Linked DNA regions of Macaca fascicularis. The protein of the gene in region 1 interacts with the protein of each later gene in a pairwise test. Links are inferred from orthologs where the notes say so. Each region holds a gene or a part of one and is shown in the gene's direction. Other genes may lie near its edges. The genes, in order: NUDT18, DUT, EVI5L, APIP, RAB3IL1, GLUL and HSD17B14.

Region 1 (4,014 bases):
GCTCCTCTCCGATTGTCGTGCCTTCCCAACACCCCTGTAAAACAATAATTGTTATGACCCTACTCTACAAATAAGAAAATTGAGGCTCACAGCTCACCCAGGAGCACAGAGCAAGCCAGCCAGCAGCGGCTGGCCATCTGGCTCCAGGTCCTGAGCTTTGTCCACACCATCAAGCAGGGAGGCACACAAAACCAGCCGAGGGAGAAGAAAGGGGTGGCCTCTGCCGGGTGAGAAGCCAGACGGCCTGCTTCGCAGATCCCTTCCAGCTGGCCTTGCCTTCCAGTTCTGAGGGGCGGGTGAAGGAGGAAAGGCAGAGCTGGGAGAGGAGCAGGCTCTCGCCACAACAACCCCCACCCTGCTCTCCACGCGCCAGGTCCTGCACGCTAGGTGGGAGGGTGACGACAAGGATGGAGGAGCAGGGCCCCACCCCCGCCCTCCCCGGGCGCACCATCTGCAGCGGAGAGGGCCTTGAGCTGCGTGGGAAATGCGGTGGGCAGAGGGACACTGATGAGGACGGGCCGGCTGACGGCAGCCCTCTCTCAGCCCCCGACTCTTCCCGCCATCCCCAGCCCTTCCCTTCCATCCTCCCAGCGCCTGTCACTCTTCCTGCCCAAACCAAGCATTTAGCACTTAGTCTCGAACCCTCAGCTGACTCCTCATCTAGGACTCCGTCTCTCTCTCCAACTACAACAGAATCTCCTTAAAGGCAGGGGTTTATGTCCCCCTCCCCACAGGCCACGTGACATTTATTACTCTTGAATGGAGTGAGAAGAAAGTTACTTGGGAGATGATCAACTCCGGCAATGCCATCGTGTGTTCACGGCAACAGCGGGGCAGTGGGTCCAAGGGGCGGCCCCGGGCCTCCGTAACGTCACCGGGCTTGTCGCGTCATAGTCGCCTACCCCTGCGGCGCAACGCGCCCTGCAGGAAGGATGACGTCACGGTCGGAGCTCCCGCAGACCAGTGCGCGCTCGGGGAGTAGGCGAGTCGGGGGCGGCTGGGAGACGTCCTGAGCGCGCGGGACTGACAGGCGGCAGAACCCGGGCGGGGTCCTCCAGAGCTGGCCCGGCGCCCACCCAGTTGCCCGGCGGCCCCGGGTGGCCCCGCCCCTTCGGAGACTGCCGCGGGCCGGCCAATCCGGGCAGGCTGCGGCGCCGCGCAGCCTATCAGCGGCCAGGGCTCGCGTGCGCTTCCGCGTTCGCGTGCGCTTCCGCGTTCTCGTGCGGGACCGGCCTGCTGCCGCAGGGACTGGGAGAGGGCGCAGGAGCCCACGCTCGCCCGCGGCTCGGCTCAGCCAGTCTGCGAGTACTCAGGCCGCCGCCCCCCGGGGGACCCGATGGCCTCGGAGGGCCTGACGGGAGCGCTGGCTGCCGTGCTGGCGGGCCAGGGGCCGAGCGTGCAGAGCTGCGACTCGGCGCCGGCCGGGGAGCCGCCGGTGCCCGTGCGGCTGCGGAAGAACGTGTGCTACGTGGTGCTGGCCGTGTTCCTCAGCGAGCAGGTGAGCGGCCGCCCGCCGGGCCCGCCGGGCCTCGGGAGCGCGCAGCCAGCCCAGGTGGGGACAGAAGACCCAACGGCCACAGCCAGCGCTGCCGCGTGCGTGGCGCTCCCCAGTTTTGCAAAGCACTCCCACTCCCACTCGCATCTGTGTCCTGCGTTCGTCCCGATATGCATTAGAGGAAACTGAGGCCCGGGACCTGTTTGTCTCATCCCACTAGGGCTCATTCCTTCCCTTCCCCAGAGTCTAGCGGAATGCCCAGGGTCCCCCGGGTAGCAGTGGCTCAATCCGTGTTTACCCTTAGGCCTTTGGTGCTGATCCCTGTAGTAGGCGATGTAATGACAACTAGAAGGGGCCAGGGCCATAGGGCAGGGTTGTACAGAGTGGAGGTGGGGGGTCGTGTTTCAAAGCCAGATCCCAGTGTGAGGACCCATCACAGTTTGTAAACCACGCCGTTGGAGGCGAGAGATACACAGTGACATGTACAGACGCAAATCAGTGCAAGACACATGGTGACCCTCACTCTGGGGCCTCATCTCCAGCCCCTGAAGCAGCTTCCACGAATCTCAGCCCTTCCTGAAATGGAAGTCTTCCTAAATCCAGAGAGGGACGAATTGCAGGGAGGAGAGGGCTGCAGCCCCCAGCTACACGAGGGCAGGTCTACTGGAGCGCTAGCCGGATTGAGGGTGTCCACCCAGAGGGGAGTCTCGGGCGACTGTGTTTGAGGTGTCCCCTGGTCCCCGGGGAGGGAAGGCTGTGGCAGGAAGTGAGGATCCTCTGTCCCCTCAGGATGAGGTGCTACTGATCCAGGAGGCCAAGAGGGAGTGCCGGGGGTCGTGGTACCTGCCTGCGGGGAGAATGGAGCCGGGGGAGACCATCGTGGAGGCGCTGCAGCGGGAGGTGAAGGAGGAGGCGGGGCTGCACTGTGAGCCCGAGACACTGCTGTCCGTGGAGGAGCGGGGCCCCTCCTGGGTCCGCTTCGTGTTCCTCGCTCACCCCACAGGTATGGCCCACCTGGAGGCAGTGTGAACAGGGCCAGTTGACACCTTTCCCCCAGCTCCTCGGTGAAGTGAGCCCCTCCACAGCCAGTCCTGTTATGACTGGCACAGCCTGGCATGGGCAGATTCCAGCCTTTGGGCTGGGGGCCTCTCTTCTGGGTCAGGGATGTCTGGTGACTGCCACACCTGCACTCCTCTCCACACAGCCTGTCCCTGCCCCATCCCCCACATTTCCCCCAGGTGGAATTCTCAAGACTTCCAAGGAGGCCGATGCAGAGTCCCTGCAGGCTGCCTGGTACCCACGGAGCTCCCTGCCCACTCCGCTGCGAGCCCATGACATCCTGCACCTGGTTGAGCTAGCTGCCCAGTATCGCCAGCAAGCCAGGCACCCTCTCATTCTGCCGCAAGAGCTACCCTGTGATCTGGTCTGCCAGCGGCTTGTGGTCACCTTTACCAGCACCCAGACAGTGTGGGTGCTGGTGGGCACAGTGGGGATGCCTCACTTGCCTGTCACTGCCTGTGGCCTCGACCCTGTGGAGCAGAGGGGTGGCATGAAGATGGCCATCCTGCGGCTGCTGCAGGAGTGTCTGACCCTGCACCACTTGGTGGTGGAGATCAAGGGGTTGCTTGGACTGCAGCACCTGGGCCGAGATCACAGTGATGGTATCTGTCTGAATGTGCTGGTGACTGTGGCTTTTCGGAGCCCAGGGATCCAGGATGAACCCCCAAAGATTCGGGGTGAGAACTTCTTTTGGTGGAAGGTGACTGAGGAAGACCTGCAAAGCCAGCTCCTCAAGCGGCTTCAGGGATCCTCTGTTGTCCCAGTGAACAGATAGGGAGGTGGAGGAGGTGACAAGGAGCTAGGCAGCCATGCTCCCTCCAGTGCAGACATGTCTCTCTCTGAGGGAGGCAAGAAGCTGGCGATCAGGGATCTTGTTGCATTGGGAGCAGGGGCGGCTCTCCTGGTTCCCGGGAGAGATGCTTTGAGGAGCATTCCTCTACATTGCACAAGGGACAGTGCCTTTAACCAAGCAAGGAGTCCAAAGCTCAGGACCTCACAACCCTGAGGGCACACTGACACCTCTCCCCAGGGGGATGGGGAGCTTTCTGTACCACCAGTGGCATCTCCTCCTCATGCTCTGTGCCCTCCTTGGGAAAGGCCTGCATCCTGATCCTTCCAGGCTCTTGGAGCCTGGAGGGGCACTGGGGAAGGTGTCCTGAGGGAGGAGCCCCTTGCTGAGTAAAGAGGTGTTACTTACCTTGCCTCCCTGCCTAAACGTTTCTGTGGGGAGCAAGTGTTGGGGACTGCTGTCCAAGAGCTGCTGTTCCCATCGTGTTACCCACAGCTGCCCATGCCTTTCCCAGTGCACTGACAGTGTGGGCCAGTCTGCTGTCCAGCATGGCCCCCGGGGCTCCTTCCAGCTGGCCTGCTGGCCCGGGATGTGACTCGGAGGGGACCCATCCCTAATGAAACACAGCTCTGAGTCCTCCAAGGGTTGGGCAGCGGGTGGCCCCAGAGGA
Region 2 (4,186 bases), on another chromosome or scaffold:
TGGGTAATTTTTGTAGTTTTAGTAGAGACGGGGTTTTACCATGTTGGCCAGGCTGGTCTCAAACTCCTAACCTCAAGTGATCTGCCAGTCTCAGCCTCCCAAAATACTGGGATTACAGGCATGAGCCACCACGTCCGGCCTGTTTTTATTTCTTCACTTCATAAAACTCAAAGATGCTTTAAAATGAAATAACAAGCCTTTCTCTGGACTGTAATTACAGAACTTTTGTCTCCTGGTGCTTCTACGCCACTGGCGTAATTCAGAGTATGCTTTTCATGGTGATTATGCTTGTTAAGAGAGATTGGGTATTCAGTGTATTAGGCAGAACTATAGTTGTGAGTTTGTGGCTTAAGTATTCTGATCCCTTTGAGCCTTTAGTCCAATAAGGCAGTCATTTGTGAGCAAGGAATCAAATATGTCTCTCATGTGAACACTTTAATAACTGGAGAAAGTACTCCAGCAAAATAAGGGAGTAAAATAATGTTGGCTCAAAATGAGGTCGAAAAGTTGCAGGGCTCGGATCGTGTTGCTATAGGCATAAATCTGGGAGTCCTCAAGGTGTAGCTAATATTTAACGTCCAGAGAAGGTAGTGTATATTCCATAGCCTCATGCAAAGTACTTTCAACAACGAAGAGGACCCAGTTAAGGAGACCGAAAAGGTGGGGCCTGTATGAAAAGGCACAGCAATGAATGTAAAACTTCCCCAATAATACTCTAATAACACTTCTACTTGTCATTTATCTAAAACTGTCCCACAGCTTAACTTTGAAAATTCAAAACCATTCAATTCAGCTCTCAGATGTGTGAGAAATAACGAGATACTTGCAGCTCAGAAAAAGAAAAACAACTATCTAGAAAGTGACTGCTTTATCCCCCACTGTAAACTATACCACTGCGGCCCGGGATCCTTGTTCGACTCCTAGCCAAGGCGTTCCCGCTGCGTTTCTGTTGGGTTATCCCAAACCTGATAGAATACTACCGCCCTCCCTGCCTCCGGTCGAATAAACTACAACGTCTGGCACTCGGTGCTGAAAGGAAATCGGGCGCGGTGTCTTGCCCAGTCTGGGGAGCGGCACCGGGTGCAGTAACTGTCACCGGCACCCACATGCGGTTCCGGCGCTTAGGGCGCCGCTGAACTCAGAGCCCGGGAGTCATGGCCGCTGGCGGTGACGCCGCAGGTAAGTCAGCCCAGGAGCAGGGCCCGGGCCTGGTGAACTCGCGGAAAAATGGGGGCCCGAGCAAACAAGAAGAGCGAGGGCAAGAGGCGTAGGCACCCGGAGGCGGCAGCAAGACTCAGGACGCCAAGGGCACCGTCTTCCTGGTGCCCTAGGGCCTGCGCCGCCTCTCCACGCCCCTCGCACGGCGGCGACTGCTTCCGAGGTCATGTTCCCGGGACGCGCGCGTCTTCAGGGTGGAAGCCTGGCGCACGTCCGGAGGTGCCGAGAAGCCAACCAGCCCAAACTCTGGGGGAAATGACTCTCCTCTGCCCTCGCCCCGCGCTCTGCTACCATTTCCTTCCGTCTCTGCTTCGCTCAGCGATGCAAAACGCGCGAGGCGCACGGCAGAGGGCCGAGGCCGCGGGACTCTCCGGGCCAGGCCCGCCCCTCGGCCGCGCAGCGCAGCACGGGACGCCCTGGCCGCTGTCCAGCGCTGGCAGTCTGAGCCGAGGCTGTCGCGGAGCCAGTACAGCCGGGGCCGCGGGCTGGAAGGGCGAGCTTCCTAAGCCGGGGGGATGCCCGGCGCCCGGGCAGGGTAGGAGAGCGGCGGGCAAAGGGCCCCGGCCGTCCGGAAGAAAGCCCCGCGGCTTGAGGCGGCGGGGGAAGTAGGCCGGCGGGCGGCCCCTGTGCGCGCGGGGGGAGTCCATTAGGGTCCCCGGCGGGGGGGGCGGCTTTCTAGTGTGTGAGGGCGACGCCCCAAAAGCTGTCGTCGGCCCTATGCGCTGAATGTGGATGGATGACTGGGACCCAGTAGTTTCCGATCCCAAACCTGCTTTCCGAGAAGGGCTTCTAACCCAAAATGTGAATCCCGCCTCCCCTCTCGGCCAGAAGTGTGGACTCGTCCCGGAGGGGGCGGTGGGTGGGGCGGAGCTGGCGGGAAATTTCGGTTTTGGCGGGTGCCGTGCGGGGCAACTCATCGTGCGCTCTCTTGTTCCTCGGGTGTTCTCCTCGCTCGCCCTCTGGCTTTGCTATGCCCTGCTCTGAAGAGACACCCGCCATTTCACCCAGTAAGCGGCCCCGGCCTGCAGAGGAGGGCGGCATGCAGCTCCGCTTTGCCCGGCTCTCCGATCACGCCACGGCCCCCACCCGGGGCTCCGCGCGGGCCGCGGGCTACGACCTGTACAGGTGAGCGGGGACCTCCCGGCGAGGAGGCTGGGAAGGGCCGGCCATCCGCTGCCACAGCTAGAAACAGTCATCGAAGAGATCACAGGAACACACTAGCTATAAATAGGATTTCTGCCTTTTTCATACTGAAAATTTTAGCTTTCATCTTTGGCATAAATTAAATAGAGATTTGGGCAAAGACTGCAGAATAAGTAAAATAACTATACGGCGTCTAGCAAGGCGTTACTTTGCAACGTTTATTGTGCCCTTCCTAAATAGAAGATAGAGAGGAAGGCACATGGTGGCTTTCGAGTGGCCTGAGGGTGATGCTGTGCTCAATGGAAAAGCCAAGGTGAGAGCCTAGATGTGAGCGTGAAAACACCTAAGAAGGATGAACAGAGATGCATCTGCCTTAAAAAGTTATTTTCTATACATTCATCTGGCCCCAGGGCGGAATTTCAGAAGGCATCCGAATACGAAAGGCAGAGCTGCCTGTAATACTACCACACTTCATCTCTACAGCACGTTTTACCTGTACTAAAAACTTTCCTTATGCTGTTGTATTTAGTCCTCACAACAATCCTTGACTAGATAAGTGTTACTTTTTACGCAGGCGGGAGTTTGTGAAGAGCTGAATTGATTTCCCCAGAGACTTGAAGATGATACCATTTTTTATCCCGAATTTTGGGCTTTTTTTTTTTTCTTTTGACTACTGTGCCCAGTTCTTAGAGCCATTAAGGTAGGAGAAAAGTAATGCTGAGAGGGAAGGAGAGTTTATACTAAATCCCAAGCATTGGGATTTATTTTAAAGTTTCTCAGGTAATTCAAACATGAGAACTATTGGTCTAAGCACAGGAGAAGAGAAAGTAGTGCATGATGATAGCAACAGAAAAGAAAGGAAAAGGAAAGTAGGTATGGACAATTGCAGCTGGAAAAACTACGGTCTCTTAATTTTAATGAATAAAAGAGTGATGTAGTTTGACTAGACCTTTCCGAAGTATATTTTGGAGCACTTTTTTGAGTCCTAGGGGAGTCCTTGATTTAAGATACCTTAAGTAGCCTCATAATAAATTCAGGTGACTTTCTGTATACTGAAATAGACATGGAAATAATGTATCTGTAATAAATTAGGCCATAACTATTTAAAGAGGGATTTCAGCGAAAAAAGGGGAAGTATAGTACTGCTTTACCAGACTTAATGCAGTTCTCCAAAGTAAACTTCTGGTTCTGCTCATTGTAAAATCTCTTAAATTTCCACCCAGCAGAGGGCCACAGTAATAGCAAGAGTAGCAGCATTTGCTACGTGGATCTTAGAGGAATTCTGTTCCTAAACAAGGTCCATCTCCAGGGACTGTTCACAGTGATCACCTCTCTCCCTCAGCCAGGAAATTCATCACCTAAGCTTGGCAAACCACCAAGCCCCGCCTGACAGATACAACACAGTTCTTTATCCCTCTTATTTTGTCCACCCATTTTCTCCTTTCCTTCTGCAGATATTCCCTAATCACATAAATGATTGTGAGAATAAAATGAGTTAATATATGTAAACCAGTTAGAACTGTGCCTGGCACATAGTAAAGGCTTAATCAGTGATAGCTAGTATTATTAGTAATATTTGGCCTTTTTTCTTTGTTCTTCATTTTTTTCCTTTTCAAACTATGGTAGTAAAGCATCCACCTTTTGAAAGTTTGCCTTTCTGCCCTTTCATGCTAATAAGTACCTCAGTTTCCCAATAAACTTTTGTTCAGGGGCAAAGATTTACAATGTTGACATCTCTTCACACCACCAAAAATATTCACGGAGAATTATTTTATCTAAAGCTGTCATTTTAATAATAAAATAACTACCTCTACCTTCTTCATAA
Region 3 (3,978 bases), on another chromosome or scaffold:
CCCTCTCTGCTGTGACAAGGTCCTTCCCTGCCCCACCCCCTCCAGGGCCCATCCCTGCATTTTGGGGAGGAAATAAGTCCATTTTGCTCAGTCTTTCCCGCTGTCAGTAACTGTCCCTACGTATTCCTCTCTAGCTTGAGGGATTCTCCACCCCTCCCTTCTCTGTTAAAAGAATCACGAGCCCATTCATTTATTCATTCATCAAACGTTTATAAGGAGTTCCTACGCTGGGGACCCGGAAGATACCCGACCTAGGCCCCGCATCCCGACTGCCCGAGGATCTATCAGTCTGGGAGGATGGGGGATGGGAGGGCCTATCCCTCCCCATGATCACTGCGCTATCCGAGCTTTGATGGAGGAACACGCGGCGCTGTGAGCTTCAGAGAAGACACTTAACCTAGCCTAGAGTAAGACAGGGGGCGGGCCTGAATCTTTTATGGGACCCCCCAATCCCAACCACCCCCTCCCCAGCACAGAACTGGGCTCCTTGAGGATACGGTGCCTTCACGTCCCTCTTAGTAGTCAGGATTTCTGGCCACGCCCCTTCTCAGACCCAACCCCCGAGCCCCTCCCTTGCGTGACCCCGCCCCATCTCTGGCCTAGGCCACGCCCTTCTCTTAGCCCCACCCCCATTTCATTCAACCCAGGCCTCAAGTCCCACCGCCCAGGACGCCCACCAATCTCACATACCCATTGGTCAGAGAGTGTCACTTTCCCGCCCTCCTTCAGTAATATTGGTTCCCTAGGTGTCAATCTTTATAGCGCCCCCAACAGTTGCCAGGGCCCAGGTTTGGGGGCCAGATAATAATGGACGTCTTGGGACGTCTCGTTATTGGGCAGAAACCCCGGCTCTGGGCGGGGCTTAGCGCCAAACGCTTGGCCGCGTCTGCCTGATGTTCCTGAGGGCCGCAGCCTTTCCTCAGAGACACACCCCTCTTTCCTTGCTATTGGTCTCATCAGGTGTTGATCAACAGGATTTCTCATTCCGATACGTAAAGCTCCCTGTCCTTCATCGCTTCCCTCATTTCAATTCGCTCTCTCCTCAGAGGCGGCAACCTTCTGAACGTAGCCAGGGCCCGCCTCACGGAGTGGTCACAGATTGGTCAGACGCCCCGTCACTCCTGGCTGGTGGGCGGAGCCAGAGCGCCTAGGGGCGGCGAATTGGCGGATGGGGCCTCGGGGGCGGGGCAGCGGCTCCTGTCAGCGGGTGAAATGGCAGCGGCGGAGCCGGCGGCGGCCGCGGTCCCGGGGGGCGGCTGAGGGGGCCGGGCCGGGGCTGCGGGGCGAACGGCGCGGCTGGGATCCGGCGGCGCAGCCCGGGGCGGCGAGGCTCGGCACGGCGATGGCGGCGCGCTCGGCGCAGGTAGGGCGGCGCGGGCCGGGCCTCCCCGGCGCCTGCTCAGACCGGCGGCTCCGCGATGCGGCCCCCGGGGAACCGGCAGGACCGCGACTTGGGCCGTCGTGCCCCGAAACCCGCGCTGGGAGCCTCGGCATCCCCAGCCCGGGACCCTTGGGGGACCCTGGACCCTGCCCACCCTCGTTGCCGATCCCTCCGGACCCCTCCCCGGGAGCTCCTGCGTGATCCCCCTCCCCCACTCCGTCCCCTCCCCGTGAGGACCCCGCAGGCCCAGGACCCCCGTCCACCCTTTGCAGTGACCCTCAGGACTCCTTTCCGGGAACCCCCTCAGGGCTCCCCATCCCCCCACTCCGCCGATCAGCCCCGCACAAGCCCCCCCAAGCCCAAGAACCCCAGTCCACCTTCTGCCCTGATCTCTCAGGACCCCTCCCTTCTGGACAACACTTGCCACCCCCTCCCCGCACCCCCTCACTTCACGTCCTCCTATCTTGGGCCCAGAACTGCCCCCACCTCTTCCCAGGGAGACCAGCCTCAGGGCCCTACCCGCCTCCCATACTGACCCCACAGGACCCCTCTCTGGCTTCTGTAAATCGGATTTCCTACCCCTGCCCACAGCCCTCAGCTCAGCCTGCAAGCCCATCTCCCACCCCAGCTGCCCCATGCCCAAGGGCACCCCTAAATCACTCCCGGGCGTCCACCCAGCACACTCTGGTAGCTCCACTGATCCTGCCCCATCTGGATCCTGGCTTCCTGAAAAATCCGCCCGTGCTCAAGACCTCCCGATGGATATTCTGAACCACCCCACTCCCCATCCAGAGCCACCCATCTTTCTGAAAACCCCAAATACACACACGCGCGCACTCACACACACACGCACACAGTGGGTCACTTAGATCCCCCAGCACACACAGAAAAACTTAAGAGCTCCAAGACAGACCCCCGGCCTGTCTGCCCCTGTCCCCACCCACTCAACACTTCTGCACTCCCCCTCAGATCCCACCTGTCCAGGCCCTCCCAGAGCCCCCGACAGCTCCCCCAGCTCAAGCAGAGACTCCAGAGACCAAGAGGTGCCTGCCGCACCCTGGGAAGCCAATCTGCCCCCCCACCAACCAAGCCAGCGCCCATACTGGGGCCCTGGAGGGTGACGGCCCCAGAATCCCCCAGCACCTGCCCCTGTGGGAACCTGTCCCAGGCCTCTGCCAAGTTATCCATCCTTCCCTGCTGTGCCCTTTCAAAAGGAAGGGCGCTCACTTTCTCTCCTACACTAGTGTCCCACAGGAACCACTGCCCGCCCCCTGATTTATGCCACCCCCTGGCGGGAAGGAAGGGATTCCAACAGCTCCTGGCTTTGGTCCTGAAGTCTGCCCCCAGTCTCCTGACCCCATCACGCCTCCTGGCCTCAAATGGCAGAGCCAGCAGTGCAGTCCAGGTTGCTCCTCAGAGCTGGCCCCTGACAGCCCGAGTGAGTTCTCTCACCCACAACCACTGTGTTTGGCCAAAACAGAACGGCTTCTTTCTATCCCAGTATTTGAGACCCGGGTTGGGGCCTGCCAGAAGCAGGCAGCTCTTTGTTAAGGAAGCTTTTCAGAAGGGAAAAGTGTGCTGAAGAGGCTGGGGTGGAACACGAATGAGTTGTCTGCTTCGTTTTATTCCCCCTCAGCCGGGCTGTGATTGAGCTAGAGGACCCGTGTCCCTGTGTCTTTCTATCTTATGTGGCTCTTCCCCTCCGTCCCACTGCCCTCCCCACTCCCATCTCTGGCCTCAGGGTCCAACCTGTAGGTTCCCCTGGGTTTCTGTGGTCAGCGGCAGGTGGTTTGGAAGGGATCGCAGGTGGCTTGGCCCCGGCACAGGGATGAGACGAGACAGGAGAGGAGACGCTGGCGCGACACCGTGGCCAGGACTGCAGGGGGCGAGGAGGAGCCGGGCCAGTCCAGCCTCACGCAGCCTGGGCACCGTGCGTCTGGGGTCCTTCTGACAATATAACCGTGCTTGGAAACCCTTAGATAAAAAGCCCAAGCTTCCTTGTGGATATTCACTAGCGGATTATGGACCACCCCGAGAAAGAGCTCATGCGGCTCAGTGCCTCAACTTCCCCATCCGGAAACTGGGGTGCCGGGAGAGCGGCTCAATTTTTAGAACAGAACTTGGAACTGCAGGGAGGCTAGGGTGTGGCCCTGTGTGTTCCCTGAGTGCTATGTGGAAGGGGACAATAAGGTCTCAGAGGGGAGTCCTGTGGGCTCCTGTGAATCACTGGCCACCCAGGTCCCTGCTGGGGTCTTCGTTGACACCTCGCTGGATAGTGGCCATCTTCCTAAGGCTGAACTGTATTGCAGGGAGCCAGCTCGAATCAGAGCTGGTAGAATGAAGACGAGAGACGGTCTGTTGCGGGATTTGTGGTTATACACAGGGTCTTCCCAGGAGGACCACGGGGAACGGGGTGGGCATGAGGGGCTGTCGGATAGCCATGCTGAGGCCCCACGTAGACCTCTGACGCCGGGTAGGAAGACGTTTGTTCTGTCCGCTTGTTGAAGGAAGGCGTGGAGGAAAAGACTCTTGAAGGTCACGTGGTATCTCTCACGCACAGGAAACTAAACTCTATACAGCCTCCCCAGGGGGGAATT
Region 4 (4,236 bases), on another chromosome or scaffold:
CACACACTGTTAAAGCACCTCTGCTCCAAGGAATATGTTATGAAACATTACACCAAAAAAACTGAAATAAATTGTTCCCATTACGGAATCTTTAGGAACCCCAATACACTCATCTTACTATATGGCTTTGTGTGATTTTTTTTTTTCCTGGGCCTCAGGTAGCTCAGAATACGAAGGCAATGTCTATTAGACCTATTTAAATTAAAATTCATTCTGTAGAGTGCCAGGAACGATGACTGGCAGGCAATACGTCAGATTAAAAAACGTCAGTCCTATTCTCCATCCCTGCTTCCCTCCAACCCTCTCCCCAAATAAGGAAAAATAATACCCAGCCTGCCATTTTGCATACTGTTAAATACTGCAAGAATTGTGTTAACCGTATCAATATCATTACTAAACGACAATTTTCTATAATAAACTTTTTGGTATGATTTATCTCCTAAATGTTCGCTCTTTCAAGCGAATATTTGCTTGAAACATTCTCCTGGACCTTTGTCTGTGATGCCGTAGGAATTTACAAATTTAAGTCTTCCACGAGTCATGGCGTGGGGTAAAACTCGACTGGCCTCAATGAAAACACCTCCCAACAGAGAGGCCTAGAGAATGAGTAAGAACTCCCAACAGTGGCTTTTCAATCTCGGCAACCTTGGGCAGCTTTTTCTCGTCCGAGACGTTTGACAACCCTAAAGAAACCTGAGCCTTGACTGGAAAGGGGGCTGAGGGAGGAGAGTTTAGGAACCCTCTCCGCGCCTCACAAATAACCCAAATTCCAAGGCAAAGTCACAAAGTCATACAAACCAGGAGGCCTAGGGTAGGGTCTAATTCTCCCAGCTGCCAAGAAAGCCCTCCACAGCATGCATTAGGCCGAGTCGGCGGACCCCACCCAGAGAAAGAGGGAAAGGAATAGGGAGGCCGCGCACCTCAACACCCAGACGCAGGTCCTCAATCAAGACTGCCCCTGTCCCAGGCCCATCACTCAGCTACACAGAGAAGCTGAGCGAGCCCCGGCCACTCACCCCGAAGCCACTGCGTGCTGTGAAACCATCTCCAATTAGCTCCGCGGCTTACAGACCACCCAAGAGCCCCCTTCACCAGTCCTATGCTTCGGCAGCCAGGGAAGCCCACAAGATAACGCAGTAGCCGCGGATCACAGCCTAGCCTCCAGGAGGCCGCCATCTTCACGGCCTTCTCACCGGCTGCCCGCAGCACAGCCTGATGTCCAGCATCAAGGCCCCGCCTCCCACATGGTTGGCCACACCCCCAGACGATCGAGGTGCCTTTAGGTCTCTCAGACTTGAAGCCCTCCTAGTCCCGCCTCCAACCACGTTGGCCACGCCTCCCGGGCAGTCAGGTGCGCTGCTGGATAGCCCAGCCGGAGGGGCCTTACCAGACCCCGCCCACCCTGTTCGCCCCGCCCCCGGGCTGCCCTCAGCGCCGCCTGATTGCATTTGCGGCCTTGCTGCCTCAACCTAGGCTGAGCGCCGCGAGTAAAGTGGTGCGGAGATTGGAGGCCGCGTGGGTCCCTGGTCTAGGCCATGTCTGGCTGTGACGCTCGGGAGGGAGACTGTTGTTCCCGGAGATGCGGCGCGCAGGTAGGGGCGGGGTCACCGGTACCGGTTATTCCCAGGAGTAGAGGCCCAGACGGAACCTGGCGGCGGGAGCTGGGCGCGGGGTCGCGGGCCGGGCGTTTGGCTGCGGGGCGGGGCTTCGGGCCGGGCAGTTTGCGACCCTGGAGCACCGCGGCCTTCGCGTTGGGAAGCAAGGCTGCGGCCCCAGGCGATCAGTGGTCCCGGGCGGGGCGCTCCGACGACGGGAGCTGGGCGCCAAACATTGGAAAGAAGCAAATAACGCAGAGAGAATAGCGTTTGGGTGACCTCAGCGGGTATTTATCAGGAAGACAGGCCAGAGAAGGAATCGTGAAGCTCCGAAGTGGAGCTGGGGCGAAGACCGCGCTCCCCGAGCTTCTTTTCTGCGCCCTGACCAGTTAGGCGTTTGGGGAGACTTTTGGCACTCGGGAGACATTTGCCGAACCGGAGCTGTGCCTCGGCTGCCAGCGCTTTGCCTTTGAACAGTTGCTCCTTGCCTATCTCCCTTTAGATGAATTGTGGGATGATCATGGGAACGATTCTTCCTTAAGCCGAAGTCAAAGGGAAATCCACCCTCACTCTGCATGTAGTTTTCGGTCATTTACACAAACCAACAGTTTTATGGAGCACCTTCTCCGCGCTCAGAGATGGCGGTACATAAGACAAATGGCCCAGGGTCTGGAGAACTAGACGAATAAGCAGTTTCAGCACAATATGATAAACCCCACCTAAGAGGCAGGGAAACCCCTCAAAATTAGCTCCCTTATTCCCCCTATCTTATTCCTCCCATGTATATCTTTCTTAGGGTTGAAAATCCTAATTAAAAAGTAGTAACTAGCAGGAGATTTCATTGCTAAGTATTTGTCAACCGCTGTCTTGTTTGAATAAGTGACTTCCCCAAATTAGCGAAGACTACTCTGAAAATAGAATGGTGGATAGGCAAGGTTGGATGGGAGAGAGAAGATCTTGGAGATAGGACAGATAATTGGAGATCGTTCCTAGGCAGGTGTGTATGGAGAAGTGTTCATGCCCTCAATCAGTAAATCTTAGTGTAATGTGAGCATCAAAGAGAGCCTTAAGGGACCCCAGAATAAACTAGGATTCTCATACCAAACATGGCCCACAGACAGCTTGATGGACAGGCATGTTTCATTTGCCTAACTCAATGTTCATGAAAAATTTGAGCTAACGTTTCTTTTTTTTCGACACGGAGTTTTGCTCTTGTTGCCCAGGCTGGAGTGCAATGGCATGATCTCGGCTCACTGCAACTTCTGCCTCCTGGGTTCAAGCGATTCTTCTGCCTCAGCCTCCCAAGTAGCTGGGATTACAGGCGCATGTCACCACGCCCAGTTAATTTTTGTATTTTTAGTAGAGATGGGGTTGCACCATGTTGGCCGGGCTGGTGTCCAACTCCTTACCTCAGGTGATCCACCCACCTTAGCTGCCCAAAGTGCTGGGATTACAAGTGTAAGCCACCATGCCCGGCCAAGTCAACATTTCAAAATCCAGAAGCATTTCAGCTTCTTTTAAAACCTCAGAACATATGGTGACATCGGGCCCTTATTTTTTCCTGGGATCTGGATTGTGGTTGCTAGTGAACACCGCCTTTACCGAGGGTGCTGGCCAGGTTACCACAGCTTCCACTGCTCACACTGGATTTGAATATCCAGTTAAATACATGAGCCCCTCTAGATATTTGTGTCTGTCTGGTTTTGTACAAATACATAAAAACAGCAATAAGAAAAGTTTTAAGAAGTCATAAAATTTCATTGTAGTTTTAGCGGGTCATGGGCAATTGAAAGAGACAGTCTCTTTGGCCTTAAGGAAGGGGAACATTCAACTGTAAGTGATTAGTTCAACAAATATTTAGTGAGTGCCTACTATGTGCCAGGCATTGTGGATTTAAGAGTGCAAGCTGCATCTGGTTCCTTCTCCCCTAGAACATGCTGTATAGTGGCAGAGACAAATTAGCAAAGAGACAAGGATGGTATGACAATATGACATAGTATGACATATGACAATATGACTTAGATGGGAAAGTTCAAGGTAGTTTAGGAGTATACACTTGACTGGGTTAGAGAATACCTCAGGAAAAAGTGAAAGTATCTACTGAGGCCTAAAGGATCAGGAAGACATAACCACATGCAATGAAAGTAAAGATATTCCACGTAGGGGAAGTAGCATGTACACAATCTCAGGATTGTCCCTGATTATGGACATGGTGTGTTCCCATATTAAGTTTGGTGTTCTGGAACATAAAGTAGGGGCCAGAGACTTGAGAAGAGATGAAGCTAAAGAGAAAAGCTACTGAGAGGTGAAGCCAGCTGGGTTTCTGGGTTGACTGGGGACTTGGAGAACTTTTCTGTCTAGCTAAAGGATTGTAAATGCAACAATCAGCACTCTGCGTCTAGCTAAAGGTTTGTAAACGCACCAATCAGCTCTCTGTAAAATGGACCAATCAGCAGGATGTGGGTGGGGCCAAATAAGGGAATAAAAGCTCGCCTTGCTGCAACTGGTTAGGGTCACCTTCCATGCCATGGAAGCTTTGTTCTTTCGCTTTTCACAATAAGTATTGCTGCTCCTCACTCTTTGGGTCCGCACTACCTTTATGAGCTGTAACACTCACTGTGAAGGTCTGCAGCTTCACTCC
Region 5 (4,120 bases), on another chromosome or scaffold:
GGTGTTTGTCATGTGCAGGGCTAACCATGTGTCTGAGGGCTCTAGTGTCTGCAGAGGAAAAAAGTAACCCACAGGGGAGGGCTTCCTAGAGGAGGGGGTATGAACAAAAGAGAAACTTACCAGCAGAGGCAGGATGCAGTGGAGATTGCAGACAGGTGGGATAGTATGTGGAAAGAAGAGGAATGGGCACATCTGGGCAGTGGCAACTGGCCTGGTGTGCTTTGGAGGGTGAGAATCCATTTCATAGTTGGAGAAACTGAGGCACAACGAGGCTAACGTGCTCAAAGGCACACCGTCTGAAAGTGGGGTTGAATCCAGCCTGTCTGACCCTGGGCCTGTGCTCCCAGCTGCTACCACTGAGTTGTTCCTGGGTGGTGGTGGTGAAAAGTTTTAAGGGTAGCGAGACCCCGTCTCTCCAAACAAAAAAAAAAAATTAAAAATTAGCCAAGCATGGTGACACATGCCTGGAGTCCCAGCTGCTCAGGAGGCTGAGGTGGGAGGATGGCTTGAGCCGGGGAGTTTGAGGCTGCCTTCCAGCCTGGGTGACAGAGTGAGACCCTGCCTTGAAAAATTAAAAAAAAAAAAAAAAAAAAGACAAAACTAGGAATCTCAAATTTAAGAAAAAGAATTAAAAAATAATAATAATAACAGTTTTTTGTTTGTTTGTTTGTTTTGTTTTTTGAGATGGAGTTTCGCTCTTGTTGCCTAGGCTGGAATGCAATAGCACAATCTCGGCTCACCGCAACCTCCGCCTCCCAGGTTCAAGCAATTCTCCTGCCTCAGGCTCCCGAGTAGCTGGGATGACAGGCATGCGCCACCATGCCTGGCTAATTTTGTATTTTTAGTAGAGACGGGGTTTCACCATGTTGGTCAGGCTGGTCTTGAACTGCTGACTTCAGGTGATCTGCCCGCCTCGGCCTCCCAAAGTGCTGGGATTACAGGCGTGAGTCTCCGTGCCCGGCCAATAACAAAGTTTTAAGTGGATATTCAGGCTTGTGGTCACAGTCGGGAGGGCCTGTCAGGGCTCCACAGCCAGCTTACGACAGCTATGACAGGGTCAAGGCTGGACAGGCAGTTTCCAACGCCCCAGCCTGTGTGGCGAGGGGACAAGTAGACCATCTGGGAGCCTGGCTGAAACACGGGGCCTCCTCTTGAGGTGTCTCATCTCCCCTGGCCCAGAGCCCAGGAAGGAGGGCCCAGTGTCTTCTGCTGCCTGAGGAGCCACAGGAGTTAATAATTACGGGGTTGAAGGAGATAGCGGCTGTCCTGGGAGGTGGTGCCTCCCTCCCAGGCTGCTGCTCTGAGGAGATAGCAAAGGTTAGTGTGAGGCCCAGCCTAGTGGGGGGAAGAAGGCTCCTGCTACCTCCCTTCCCAGCACCCTCCAGAGGGACCCTCAGTCTGGCCTTCCAAGCATGGACTCTTCTGAGGAGCACGCCAGGTGCCCCGCCCGAGGGACATGCCCCGTGTTCCTGGCCATGAGTGCAGGGACTGTCCGCTACGCCCCATTAGGCCTGTGCCCTGCACTTGAGGGGAGCTTGAGAGAAGAGCCCTGGGGCACAGAAAGGTGAGCTCAGGACCTGCGGCATGGAGGGGAGGGGGAATCTTGGCGAGCTTCAGGGCAGCCGGTGTGAGAAGCTGGGCTCAGAGAGTCCTAGGGAATGGCTCTGACTGTCTTGTCCAATTTGGTGGCTGTAGAGAGGTGGAGACTGAAGCTCAGATAGGGCAAGACACTCGTCCTGGGTCACACAGTGAGCTGAGGTCAGACTTGTAAGTCCAGAATCAGGGCCTGGGTCATCCAGGCTGACTGTCTCCTACTCCTCAGCTGCCTTCAGCCAAGGGTCTGTGGTCAAGGCTGTCAGGCTTGGGATGTAGCAGGCAGAGGGGGATAGAGGGAGGGAGGGTCAGGAGGGCAGTGGCTTGTGGGCAGAGGACACAACTTTTTTTTTTTTTGAGATGGAGTTTCGCTCTTGTTGCCCAGGCTGGAGTGCAATGGTGCGATCTCGGCTTACAGCAACCTCTGCCTCCCGGGTTCAAGCGATTCTCCTGCCTCAGCCTCCTGAGCAGCTGGGATTACAGGCATGCACCACCACGCCCAGCTAATTTTGTATTTTTTAATAGAGACAGGGTTTCTTCATGTTGGTTAGGCTGGTCTCAAACTCCCGACCTCAGGTGATCCGCCTGTCCTGGCCTCCCAAAGTGCTGGGATTACAGACGTGAGCCACCGCGCCTGGCCCAGACACAACTTTTATTTCTCCCTTCCCTGCCACTGGCCAGGAACCTATAGCCTGTGCTCGGGAACCTCTTGCTGCCTGGCTGCACACAGCTGCAGCTGCCAGTGAGCTTCTAGTTTCTGGATGGTCTTTTTGGAAAACTGGTGTAAGAGGACTCAGCCCCACTGCCCCTGGCTGTGTGATATCTGGCAAGTTCCTTAACTTCTCTGAGCCCATCCTTTTTGGCTGAGGAGCAAGTTCAGCTGAGCAGTAGGGTCCTCCCTACTGGGGGAGGCAGTGAGGCCTAGGAGTCCATGGTAGCAGGAAGCATGGATGACAGGCTATTTTTGGTTAGAAATTGAGTGTCGATGCTTTCTGAGTGGTGACCACACACTTGTCCTTCGAGACCTCGCTCAAGGGCCTCCCCAGTCCACCAGCTGTCCCAGGCTGAGGACTCTTCCTCCAGGGACATAGCCCTGAGCTGACGCCTCCTCCACCCACTTTATCTCCCACTGGTCTGGGTTGCCATGACTTACCTCCTCCCGGTGCTTGTGAAGACTTGAGGGCAAGGGCCCTGTGCTGGGTTCCTTTTGTGTCATTTTCTCCTCCTTCTCTAAATAGTGAACAAAACAAGGGCCAGGAAGACAACAGTTGCTCAAGACCTACTGATGAGGGATTCAAGCCAGCAAACACATGTGGACATCTGCTTTGGGTGGGCCAGACCCTGAGCTGGGCTGGGGGCGGGGTGAGGGAACACAGCTCCAAGAAAGAGAGAATCCCTGCCCTCTGGAAGCCATGGCCATGGAAACAACTGCCCTGCTGCGTGATGGCTATGGGACGCCTGGGCTGAATGATTCTAGAAAGTTGGAAGGGATGCTAGGGAGAACTGCCAAGGTTGTTCACTGCACAAAATGCTGGCCAAGGGAGCAAGCAAGGCATAGAATCCAGCCTCGCCTCCACTCTCCAGATTCCCTACCTTGTTGTGCACTATGCCCAGTGGGGAAAGAGCACTGTTGTCTATTTGTACTCTGGACATGGAGGTCTTAGAGAATACCTCCCTCATCCTCCATCCTCCATCATGGAGCCCCAGGAGGGCAGAGCCTATGTCTGCACAGTTTCCTTCTGGGTCACCAGCCCTTGCATGGCCCATAGACTATGCTCAGATGGAGTGGCTGAATGTATGAATGAGTTGAATGAATGAATAAAATGTGTCCTCAAATGAAGATCTGACTAGCTTGAGCCTGGGGCCTGAGTCAGTGGGCCTGGAGGGGTTCAGCACTAGGACCTCTGGTAGCACCTAGAAGGGCAAGTACCTCCCCCCAAGCTCCCAGTCCTCCCCCAGACAGGGAAGGTGGGAGCCATGGTTCCTGGTGGGAGAGAAGAGGGGTTCTGCTCTTACTGGTCCAGTCCCAGGCTGAAGTTGAGAACAATGATCAGGACTCAGAATGGGTGGGACAGAGGAACTGAGGGACAGGTAGACCAGTGGTCTGGGATTCAGGGAAAGGTTTCACGGAGGATGAGGAACCAGACAGGTGTGCGTATGTGTGTGTGTTGGTGGGGGTGGGGTGGGGAATACTATCCAGAGGGCAGATGGTGGGTAAAGGCAGGGATGGGCACAGTGTGTTAAGAGGCAGGAGGCTGGGTGAGGAGAGTTGGACCAGAAGTGGAAACTCCTTCGGGGTAAAACTCAGAGAGTAGGACTCAGAAAACTTGTTTCGGGTTTGTCCCCTCCCCTTCCCAGCAGGCAGGATATTGCACAGGGACAGGCACTAAGCAGATAGACTAGGGAAGGAGTGCCGGTGAGGATGGGGGAGGGTGTCTGCTGGCCTTAAGTGACAATCTGTGTGAGAATCCAAGAGCTGAGAGCCCGGGAGCCATTGTAGGTTCTTGAGCAGGGGTGGCCCAAAGTG
Region 6 (3,959 bases), on another chromosome or scaffold:
CTACCTATGTTGTGTCTCTAGGTACACATATAATTATTGTGCATCTGCTGACAAACATCCATTTCAAGATTGTGTTCACATACACATTTTCCCAACCATCACGGCAAGCTGAGAGGAGAGGTATGTATTCCCATTTTCCAGATTAACAAGAAGCCGCACTTGATAAAGCAAAACCAGGGAGAATTCGTTTAAGACATTTCTTGACAATTCCTGGACTTCGAAAGGGGCAAGTGAACACCTCGATTTCCTTTCGGCTGCTCAGGGGGCAGTCTGCACACAGAATTTCAAATCTAGTGGGCGGCTCCACAGATCGTTTTCGATGACCACTTTATTTTGCAGATGAGGAAACTTGGGCCCTGAGAGACCTGCCTAGGGTCTGGCCAGCGGTATGACACAGGTCTCCAGACTTAGTTTCTACCGCTCTCCAGAATCCTCTGTGAAATTAGAGACACAGCACGTTGATTTCAAATGTGAAATGGCAGAGTTCTGTTTATTTCCCCAGAGCCAACAGAGCCGGAGCGGGCGGCTCTTCCAGGCTTTGGGAACCCGGACCCGTCCCCAGGCCCAAGCGGCACCCACGCTAGCCCAGGCCCGCCCAAGGTTCCCCCGGGTCCCGCGGCCCGCGCTCCCTCTCAAGCTAACCCCTGCCCGCGGGAAGCGGGGTTCGGAGGCTCCCTCGCAACAAAAGGCTAAATTCGGTTTCCCTGGTTCCGCATTTCCCCAGGGAGCTCTCCTCGTAAAACTATTGCCCGTAAAGACTGCAGGGCAGAGGTCCAGGGCGCTTTGCTGGGAGCCTCGGGGCCCCGGGCTGGGGGCCGTCGGGCGGCACCTGGCGGGCCAGCGAGCGGGCGGGCGGGCGGCGAGCGAAGGCTTCCCGGCCTGGCAGCAGCTCGCCCCTCCGCCCTCCGCCCTCCGCCCTCCCGGCTCCGCTCCCCTCCCCCACGCCGCCCTGCCCCTCCCCCACGCCCCTTTCTCTTTCTTTCTTTCCCAGCTCGCTTGCCCCCACCCCAGCGGCGCCCGCCGGGCTCCTCGCCCAATGGCCGCGGGGCCGGGGAATGCATCAGCTGATCGGCCCGGGCTCCCGGCCGCTGGGAGCCAATCAGGGCACCGGGGGCGGCCCCCGGCCGCGGATAAAGGGTGCGGGGCCGCGACCGGCCTTGCAGAGTCGAGAGTGGGAGAAGAGCGAAACGTGTGAGCAGCACTACGGCCTCCTCTCCTCCTAACCTCGCTCTCGCGGCCTGCCTTTACCCGCCCGCTTGCTCGGCGCCCAGGTAAGCCCCCGGACGGCCCGGTGGCACCCAAGCGACACGCACCGCCCCTGCTACCCCGCGAGGCGCGCCACCCAGCCTCTTTTTTCGGCCGCCTGCCCCTCCAGTCCCAGCCCTACGCTGCGGCCTCTCTGGCCCGGGCCTGAGGTCCGGCTCCAGTCCTCCTCCCGCGTGCTTCCGCCGCCGATGGCTTGGACCCTCCGGGGCTGGCGCTGGTGGGGCGCGTCGTTGGCCAGGCTCTGGGAAGGGCGGGGTGAGTTGTTTTGATCTTCTTTTCACTACTTGCGGCCCAAGCGCCGCCCCTGGAGGCCTTTGGGCTGGCCCGCGCCCTGGGGCTCACAGTGGTATTTGCGCTGTGGATGGAGTGGCGGTGCGGTCCCCTGCAGACCGCAAACAAGGCGCTTGGTTGGCGCGGGCGCCTCGCTGCTTTCCTCGTGGTGGGGCAGTCGTCGTGGTTCTGGCGATCGTTGAGACGCCTCGATTGCGGCGTGTAACAGTGAGCGTTGTTTGCGCGGCCGGCTCCCGCCTCGGGGTCCCGGGGGCCTTCCAGTGTGACCGAACAATGGAGAGCCCGGGCCTCGGCGCAGTCGGTGGAGAAGCTGGGCCGGGCGGAGGCAGCAGCAGCGCGCGGTCCCTCCGGCCTGCGCCCCCACCCTCCCCGGGGACCCCGCAACCCCTCGGCTGTGGGGTATGGCCACCTCCGTGAGGCCCTGAGATTCAGACGGGGGCCCGAGGGGCGGGGCGCCCGCTTTAGGGACATTTCAGTGGGAAGGGTCTGCTCTCAAAGTGGATAATTACAACTCCCTCGGGGGCGGGAAGCGGGGATCCTCCCCCAGCCGCAAGTTCACGAAGAAAGCAACCAATGAAAATTATGAAGACGACGAGAAGTCAGACTCCTCCGGGTCGCCCTCCAACTGTTTCGGCTTCGTCGCCTACTCCGTGAACTCCGGGGAGAAATCTCGAGTCAAGATTAAGACCTTAACCCACCAACCGGCCTGTTTCGACACCCCCCGGGCCGACCGCTGTGTGTCCCCTTCGACATCGCCCTCGCCCAGAAAGCTCCGGTGCTTGGACCAGCTCGAGTCTGAGAAAGAGGAGAGGCGCGAACGCCACTCCAAAAAGAGAAGGGCTAAGGAGGGCAACCCTAACAATACGCTTGACTTTCTGTGGCTGGGGTGAGTGAGGGGGCAGGGAGGACGACCCCGGAGTTGGTGAGAGCTGCAGAAACGGCTAAAAGCTTCAGAATCCATTCCCCCCACATAAACTTGGCGCCACGGCAGCAGCAGTTGATAGAGTGCTGGCATCCAACTGGCTCACGGAAAAGAGCAGGAGATCCGAAACAGGCTTAGGACAAAGTGTGCATGATATTGGTGGTGTAACAGGTTGGAGAGGACAGCTGAGAAATTGGGTTGTAGCTTTTTTTTCTTTTTTTTTCCCCCACCGACAGAGTCTCGATCTGTCGCCCAGGCTGGAGTGCAGTGGTGCAAGCTCCCGGCTTACTGCAACCTCTACCTCTAGGGTTCAGGCGATTCTCCTGTGTCAGCTTCCCGAGTAGCTGGGATTACAGGCGGGCACCACCAGGCCCGGCTAATTTTTGTATTTTTAAGAGAGACTGGGTTTCACCATGTTGGCCAGACTGGTCTCGAACTCCTTACCTCAGGTGATCCGCCCGCCTAGGTGGGTTGTAGTTTTTAGCGGGAGCTGAAGGGTTCTGGGACGGAGGTGGGAAGTAGGATTTGGCCGACTGAATCTTCTAGAGGCAATATTGGGGTGTTGGTCTTCCCCAAGGGGAAGGGTGGTGAGGCTGTCAGAGGGAGAAGCAGTTATGTTTTCAGCTGGGCAAACATGGACGGTTGCCCATAGAAACTTTGCCACTGTACTTCAGAACGTTGCCCTAGTCGTTGGAGGAGAACAATGTGTTCCCTTTCTAGCCATCCTGGGCCACGGAGGGAGGAACGTTTCCTCTTCGGCTGTTGTGGCTTCAGAATTTCTGTTCTTTCAGAGGTTTTGTGGTAGTGGTTGGCAGTTATTAGTATGCCTCATGGCTTTTAAAATTCCAGATCTTTTTGATTTCGAAGTGGAAATTTCCTAATTACTTGAAGTCTTCTTGTGGAATTCCATAATGTTGTGATTCTTGCTCACTATCTTAAGTGAAACTTTGCATGAGACCTATGGAAAGTATGGCAGCATGCCCCTTAGAATCTGGTTTGAATCAGCTTTTGTTGTAGGAAACTGCTAGCCTTTAAAAAAAAAAAATATTGTAACCTTGTTTCATCCTCAAATCTAAATGTGTAGTGGGTTTTCTTTTGGTGGGGAGTGGCTGTGGGTTTCAGTTAAGACCACAGCTAGGATGAAAGGCAAAGAGAAAAACAGAAACCTTGGAAGCCAAGCCTGTTCTGTGGCTGGATTTTACTTGTATTGGAAGAAGTTCTATGTTTTGTAAATTTGTGTATTGGTTTGGTTTGTTTCCTCTGATAGATTAGTATTTGGATAGTTTAGTGTTACCTCAGCTACACTGAAGGAATAGACAGTCCTCACAAGTGTAAGTTCCAACTTGGAAGCCTGGGATCTGCAGTAGCTGTGGAACTTAAGCCTTTGAGCTCCGAGATGCAAGAGGCATTGAGTTACTACCAAGGGCCTGATCTTTTCTTTAGCAGGCATCTGTGTTAATTGCTTCAAAAGGTGGTGATC
Region 7 (4,251 bases), on another chromosome or scaffold:
AGTAGGTCTTATTCATCCTTTTCTTTTTGTACCAATTAACCCTCCCCACCTCTCCCCCATGTACACACCCCACCCCCAATCTTCTTTTTTTTTTCTAGTCCAAGGAACACCACCCCTTACTTGCCGACTTCCGAAGGTCACCGGGAGCGGGTTCTCAGCCTCTCCCAAGCCCTGGCTACTGAGGCGTCGCAGTGGCACAGAATGATGACAGGTGACTGGCTGGGGATGTTGAACTTCTGGGTTTTAGGGAGGAGAAAGCTGGAGACCTGGAATCCCAGGTCCTGGAGAGGAGGGGTCTAGGGGCCGGTGGGAATTTTTTATGTTGGCGAGGAAAGAGTTGGGCAGAGTTTGGGAGTTTTAGGTCTCAGGCAAGAGTGGACTGGGTTCCGGGACACTTGGGAGGAGGGGAGGAAGAGGTCAGGGGGCGGGGAGAGGACCGACATCTGAGTCTGAAAGAGGTCTGGACTGGGGTGTCCAGACTCCTGGGTCTGAGGGAGGAGGGGCTGGGGGCCTGGACTCTTGGGTCTGAGGGAGGAGGGGCCTGGGAACCCGGAGTCCTGCTGCTGAAGTTTGCCATTCTTATGTCTCCCACTCATCCTCTCTAGGTGGAAATTTGGACTCCCGGGGAGACCCTCTTCCCCGTGTGCCGCTGCCTCCTTCGGACCCCACGCGCCAGGAGACCCCTCCCCCAAGATCTTCCCCGGTGGCTAATTCGGGTTCCACAGGGTTCTCTCGCCGAGGGAGTGGGCGTGGAGGAAGTCCCGCCCCCTGGGGGCCCACGTGGGATGCCGGGATCGCCCCTCCGGTCCTGCCCCAAGACGAGGGGGCGTGGCCTCTGCGAGTCACTCTGCTACAGTCCAGCTTCTAACCCGCCCAAACGTGGCAGCCAATCGGAGCGTGAGCACGTGGTCTGGAGGTACCGCCGGAGATCTGGGACCACTCAGGGCATCAGGGGCGTGGTCTGGTCCCCATCGCCCGTCCGGGAGGGAAATGGTTTCTATGGCCAAAGTTTGATTTTCTCAACACTGTCTAAATTTGGATTAAAACTTTGAACTTTTAGTCAATAGCTTTGTTTCTGTCTGTTTGGGGTTGTTGCACTGGGGTCTCTGAGGGGCAGAGCCGGAGTCGTGCACTCCTGGGTCCTGAGAGAGGAAGGGACAGGGTGCTTGGACTTACAGGTCTCTGGGAGGAAGGGATAGAGAATCTGATCCCTCAGTCTGAGAGTGGAGGGGCCTGGGTCAGGATTCCCGGGTCTGAGGGAGGAGGGGTTGGGACCCTGACTCCTGGGTCTGAGGGAGGAGGGGCTGGGAGGCTGGACTCCTGGGTCTGAGGGAGGAGGGACTGGGGCTCCTGGATTCCTGTGTCTGTGGGAGGAGAGGAGTGTCTGAGGGAGGAGGGGCTGGGGACAAACTTCCAGGTCCCTAGCCTTCCTGGCAACGCCCCCCGAGGCTGGACTTCCACGATCCAGCTTCTATTGAGGATTTGATGCGACGGCCTCACGTGGCTTTGGAGGTGAAAAAGGCCCAGAGTAGAGACACAGAGAGAGAGAGAGAGAGAGAGACCGGTGGACACGGATGGCTACGGGAACGCGCTATGCCGGGAAGGTGGTGGTTGTGACCGGGGGCGGGCGCGGCATCGGAGCTGGGATCGTGCGCGCCTTCGGTGAGCCGGGTCTGACTGCTGGGAGCTGTGGAGCGTGAGAGAGGAAGGATGGGGGCGGGGCGATGGGGGCGGAAAATAGGGTCTCCAATACTGCAGCCGGGATTCTGATCTTATAAAAGCCAATTTGCAGGCTAAAGTAAGCGTGTGGCGCGGTAGGCTAGGGCTGTCTGGCAGGGTCTCCGAAGGCAGTGGCCCCTTTCTCTGGGTCTGTTGGTATAGCTGCAAAACCAGTGGTTTGGGGAATGGCCCTGTCAGTTGTGGAGTTTGCTCTGGAACCCACGAACGGGGGATCAGGAGCCTCAGCAGAAACCTGGGCAGGCAAGGAGAGTATGTGTCAAGGCCTCTGCCCTCTGTCCTGTGGGTGATCATGAGACTGGGGTCACGAGGGGAGACGGAGATCGGCCCCAATCCAGGTGGCCACAAGAGGGCGGCAGAGGCTTTAACCAAGACTCGGAGGGTAACGTGTTGCCTTCCTATTCTCAGTGGACAGCGGGGCCCAAGTGGTTATCTGCGACAAGGATGGTGAGTGAGGGTCCCTCAGCCCTCAGCCCTCACCCTGGTCCTTCCTCCCTCAGTCCAGGGGTCCAGGAGCCCCAGCCCCTCCTCCCTCAGTCCAGGGGTCCAGGAGTCCCAGCCCCTCCTCCCTCAGACTCAGGAGTCCAGACCCCCAGCCCTCCTCCCTCAGACCCAGGAGTCCAGACCCCCAGCCCCTCCTCCCTCAGACCCAGGAGTCCAGACCCCCAGCCCCTCCTCCCTCAGACCTAGGAGTCCAGGAGCCCCAGCCCCTCCTCCCTCAGACCCAGGAGTCCAGACCCCTGTCCCTCCCCCCTCAGACCCAGGAGTCCAGATCCCCAGCCCCTCCTCCCTCAGACCCAGGAGTCCAGGACACCAGGCCCTCCTCCCTCAGACCCAGGAGTCCAGACCCCCGGCCCCTCCTCCCTCAGACCCAGGAGTCCAGACCCCTGTCCCTCCTCCCTCAGACCCAGGAGTCCAGACCCCCGGCCCCTCCTCCCTCAGACCCAGGAGTCCAGACCCCTCCTCCTCCCTCAGACCCAGGAGTCCAGGCCCCCAGCCCCTCCTCCCTCAGACCTAGCAGTCCAGGCCCCCAGCACCTCCTCCCTCAGACCCAGGAGTCCAGGCCCCAGCACCTCCTCCCTTGGACCTAGGAATCCAGGGCCCCAGCCCCTCCTACCTTGGACCCAGGAGTCCAGATCCCTGTCCCTCCTCCCTCAGACCCAGGAGTCCAGGCCCCCAGCCCCTCCTCCCTCAGACCCAGGAGTCCAGGCCCCCAGCCCCTGCTCTCTCAGACCCAGGAGTCCAGGCCCCCAGCCCCTGCTCTCTCAGACCCAGGAGTCCAGGCCCCCAGCCCCTCCTCCCTCAGACCCAGGAATCTGCAGGCCCCCAGACCCTCCTCCCTCAGGCCCAGGGCTCCAGGCTCCCAGCTCTTTTCTGCCTGCAGAGTCTGGGGGCCGGGCCCTGGAGCAGGAGCTCCCTGGAACTGTCTTTATCCTCTGTGATGTGACTCAGGAAGATGATATGAAGGTGAGCCGAGTTCCCATTCCTACCCCCATCTCCGCTAATGACCAGTTCTTTGTTCTCCTCCAGCCATTTGCATGTGCCTTTCCCTCTACTTTTCCTTCCTCTCCTGGCTCCACTGGACCCGTCAAAGGTTTCCAACCAGTGTCACTCCACACACAAGATCTTCTGTGACTGACGAGCAGGTCACATGTTCCTTCTCTCCCACCTCTCCAAGGCTCTTAGCACATCTGACACGTGGGTGGAAAGGAATAAGTCCCTCAAAGTGGGTCAACTGTAACTGATTTTTCTGTCTCTTTTTTGGAGGTGTCACTGTCACTGAGGCTGGAGTGCAGTGGCGTGATGTTGGTTCACTGCAACCTCTGCCTCCCAGGTTCAAGCCACTCTCCTACCTCAGCCTCCTGAGTAGCTGGGATTACAGGCGTGTGCCACCATGCCCAGCTAATTTTTTTTTTTTTTTTTTTTTTTTGAGACGGAGTTTTGCTCTTGTTGCCCAGGCTGGAGTGCAATGATGCGATCTCGGCTCACCGCAACCTCCGCCTCCCGGGTTCAAGTGTTTCTCCTCTCTCAGCCTCCTGAGTAGCTGGGATTACAGGCATGCTCCACCACACCTGGCTAATTTTGTATTTTTAGTTGAGATGGTGTTTTTCTGTGTTGGTCAGGGTGGTGTTGAACTCCCGACCTCAGGTGATCCGCCTGCCTTGGCCTCCCAAAGTGCTGGGATTACAAGCATGAGCCACCGCACCCGGCTAATTTTTGTATTTTTAGTAGAAACGGGGTTTCACTATGTTGGCCAGGCTGGTCTCGAACTCCTGACCTCGCGTGATCCACCCACCTCAGCCTCCCAAAATGTTGGGATTACAGGTGTGAGTCACTGCACGTGGCCTGTAACTGATTTTTTTCTCCATTATTTCTGGGTTCCTCTTTCTTCCTTTTAATCAGTATCTCTCTGTTATCTGCCCCCCTTTAGTAACTGTCCCCTATACTCTCTCTGAATCCTTGTCACCCCCATGCCCCACCCCCTAACCCTGGGTGCAGTGTGGCTCTGACCAG

Evidence for each region.
Region 2: the proteins of NUDT18 (region 1) and DUT interact in binary tests that used the Homo sapiens proteins (3 or more experiments, as listed by UniProt). The two-hybrid records come from large-scale screens. The link is inferred for Macaca fascicularis from reciprocal best matches to the Homo sapiens genes NUDT18 and DUT.
Region 3: the proteins of NUDT18 (region 1) and EVI5L interact in binary tests that used the Homo sapiens proteins (3 or more experiments, as listed by UniProt). The two-hybrid records come from large-scale screens. The link is inferred for Macaca fascicularis from reciprocal best matches to the Homo sapiens genes NUDT18 and EVI5L.
Region 4: the proteins of NUDT18 (region 1) and APIP interact in binary tests that used the Homo sapiens proteins (3 or more experiments, as listed by UniProt). The two-hybrid records come from large-scale screens. The link is inferred for Macaca fascicularis from reciprocal best matches to the Homo sapiens genes NUDT18 and APIP.
Region 5: the proteins of NUDT18 (region 1) and RAB3IL1 interact in binary tests that used the Homo sapiens proteins (3 or more experiments, as listed by UniProt). The two-hybrid records come from large-scale screens. The link is inferred for Macaca fascicularis from reciprocal best matches to the Homo sapiens genes NUDT18 and RAB3IL1.
Region 6: the proteins of NUDT18 (region 1) and GLUL interact in a two-hybrid assay, tested with the Homo sapiens proteins (2 studies listed by BioGRID and IntAct). The two-hybrid records come from large-scale screens. The link is inferred for Macaca fascicularis from reciprocal best matches to the Homo sapiens genes NUDT18 and GLUL.
Region 7: the proteins of NUDT18 (region 1) and HSD17B14 interact in binary tests that used the Homo sapiens proteins (3 or more experiments, as listed by UniProt). The two-hybrid records come from large-scale screens. The link is inferred for Macaca fascicularis from reciprocal best matches to the Homo sapiens genes NUDT18 and HSD17B14.

Annotation. Positions count from the first base shown.
Region 1 is NC_088382.1:25,179,324-25,183,337, reverse strand, and holds NUDT18 (8-oxo-dGDP phosphatase NUDT18), read left to right. Parts: upstream 1-1,214; 5' UTR 1,215-1,336; coding exon 1,337-1,498; intron 1,499-2,284; coding exon 2,285-2,498; intron 2,499-2,733; coding exon 2,734-3,329; 3' UTR 3,330-3,751; downstream 3,752-4,014. UniProt on the Homo sapiens protein: Mediates the hydrolysis of oxidized nucleoside diphosphate derivatives. Hydrolyzes 8-oxo-7,8-dihydroguanine (8-oxo-Gua)-containing deoxyribo- and ribonucleoside diphosphates to the monophosphates. Hydrolyzes 8-oxo-dGDP and 8-oxo-GDP with the same efficiencies.
Region 2 is NC_088381.1:24,836,657-24,840,842, forward strand, and holds the start of DUT (deoxyuridine 5'-triphosphate nucleotidohydrolase, mitochondrial), read left to right. Parts: upstream 1-1,386; 5' UTR 1,387-1,473; coding exon 1,474-1,753; exon of another isoform or gene 1,754-1,823; intron 1,824-2,156; exon of another isoform or gene 2,157-2,188; coding exon of another isoform or gene 2,189-2,204; coding exon 2,205-2,343; intron 2,344-4,186. UniProt on the Homo sapiens protein: Catalyzes the cleavage of 2'-deoxyuridine 5'-triphosphate (dUTP) into 2'-deoxyuridine 5'-monophosphate (dUMP) and inorganic pyrophosphate and through its action efficiently prevents uracil misincorporation into DNA and at the same time provides dUMP, the substrate for de novo thymidylate biosynthesis.
Region 3 is NC_088393.1:8,545,259-8,549,236, forward strand, and holds the start of EVI5L (EVI5-like protein), read left to right. Parts: upstream 1-1,178; 5' UTR 1,179-1,363; intron 1,364-3,978. UniProt on the Homo sapiens protein: Functions as a GTPase-activating protein (GAP) with a broad specificity.
Region 4 is NC_088388.1:30,656,806-30,661,041, forward strand, and holds the start of APIP (methylthioribulose-1-phosphate dehydratase), read left to right. Parts: upstream 1-1,436; 5' UTR 1,437-1,535; coding exon of another isoform or gene 1,536-1,579; coding exon 1,580-1,592; intron 1,593-4,236. Other genes in the region: PDHX (pyruvate dehydrogenase protein X component, mitochondrial), read right to left, coding at 1,017-1,176. UniProt on the Homo sapiens protein: Catalyzes the dehydration of methylthioribulose-1-phosphate (MTRu-1-P) into 2,3-diketo-5-methylthiopentyl-1-phosphate (DK-MTP-1-P).
Region 5 is NC_088388.1:12,063,295-12,067,414, forward strand, and holds the start of RAB3IL1 (guanine nucleotide exchange factor for Rab-3A), read left to right. Parts: upstream 1-1,320; 5' UTR 1,321-1,412; coding exon 1,413-1,564; intron 1,565-4,120. UniProt on the Homo sapiens protein: Guanine nucleotide exchange factor (GEF) which may activate RAB3A, a GTPase that regulates synaptic vesicle exocytosis. Promotes the exchange of GDP to GTP, converting inactive GDP-bound Rab proteins into their active GTP-bound form.
Region 6 is NC_088375.1:39,913,451-39,917,409, reverse strand, and holds the start of GLUL (glutamine synthetase), read left to right. Parts: upstream 1-1,159; 5' UTR 1,160-1,271; exon of another isoform or gene 1,272-2,443; intron 2,444-3,959. UniProt on the Homo sapiens protein: Glutamine synthetase that catalyzes the ATP-dependent conversion of glutamate and ammonia to glutamine.
Region 7 is NC_088393.1:56,819,704-56,823,954, reverse strand, and holds the start of HSD17B14 (L-fucose dehydrogenase), read left to right. Parts: upstream 1-1,451; 5' UTR 1,452-1,574; coding exon 1,575-1,662; intron 1,663-2,145; coding exon 2,146-2,184; intron 2,185-3,121; coding exon 3,122-3,204; intron 3,205-4,251. Other genes in the region: PLEKHA4 (pleckstrin homology domain-containing family A member 4), read left to right, coding at 99-211, 606-868. UniProt on the Homo sapiens protein: Catalyzes the NAD(+)-dependent oxidation of L-fucose, yielding L-fucono-1,5-lactone, which rapidly converts spontaneously to L-fucone-1,4-lactone. Can also act on D-arabinose and L-galactose, with lower catalytic efficiency. Does not use NADPH.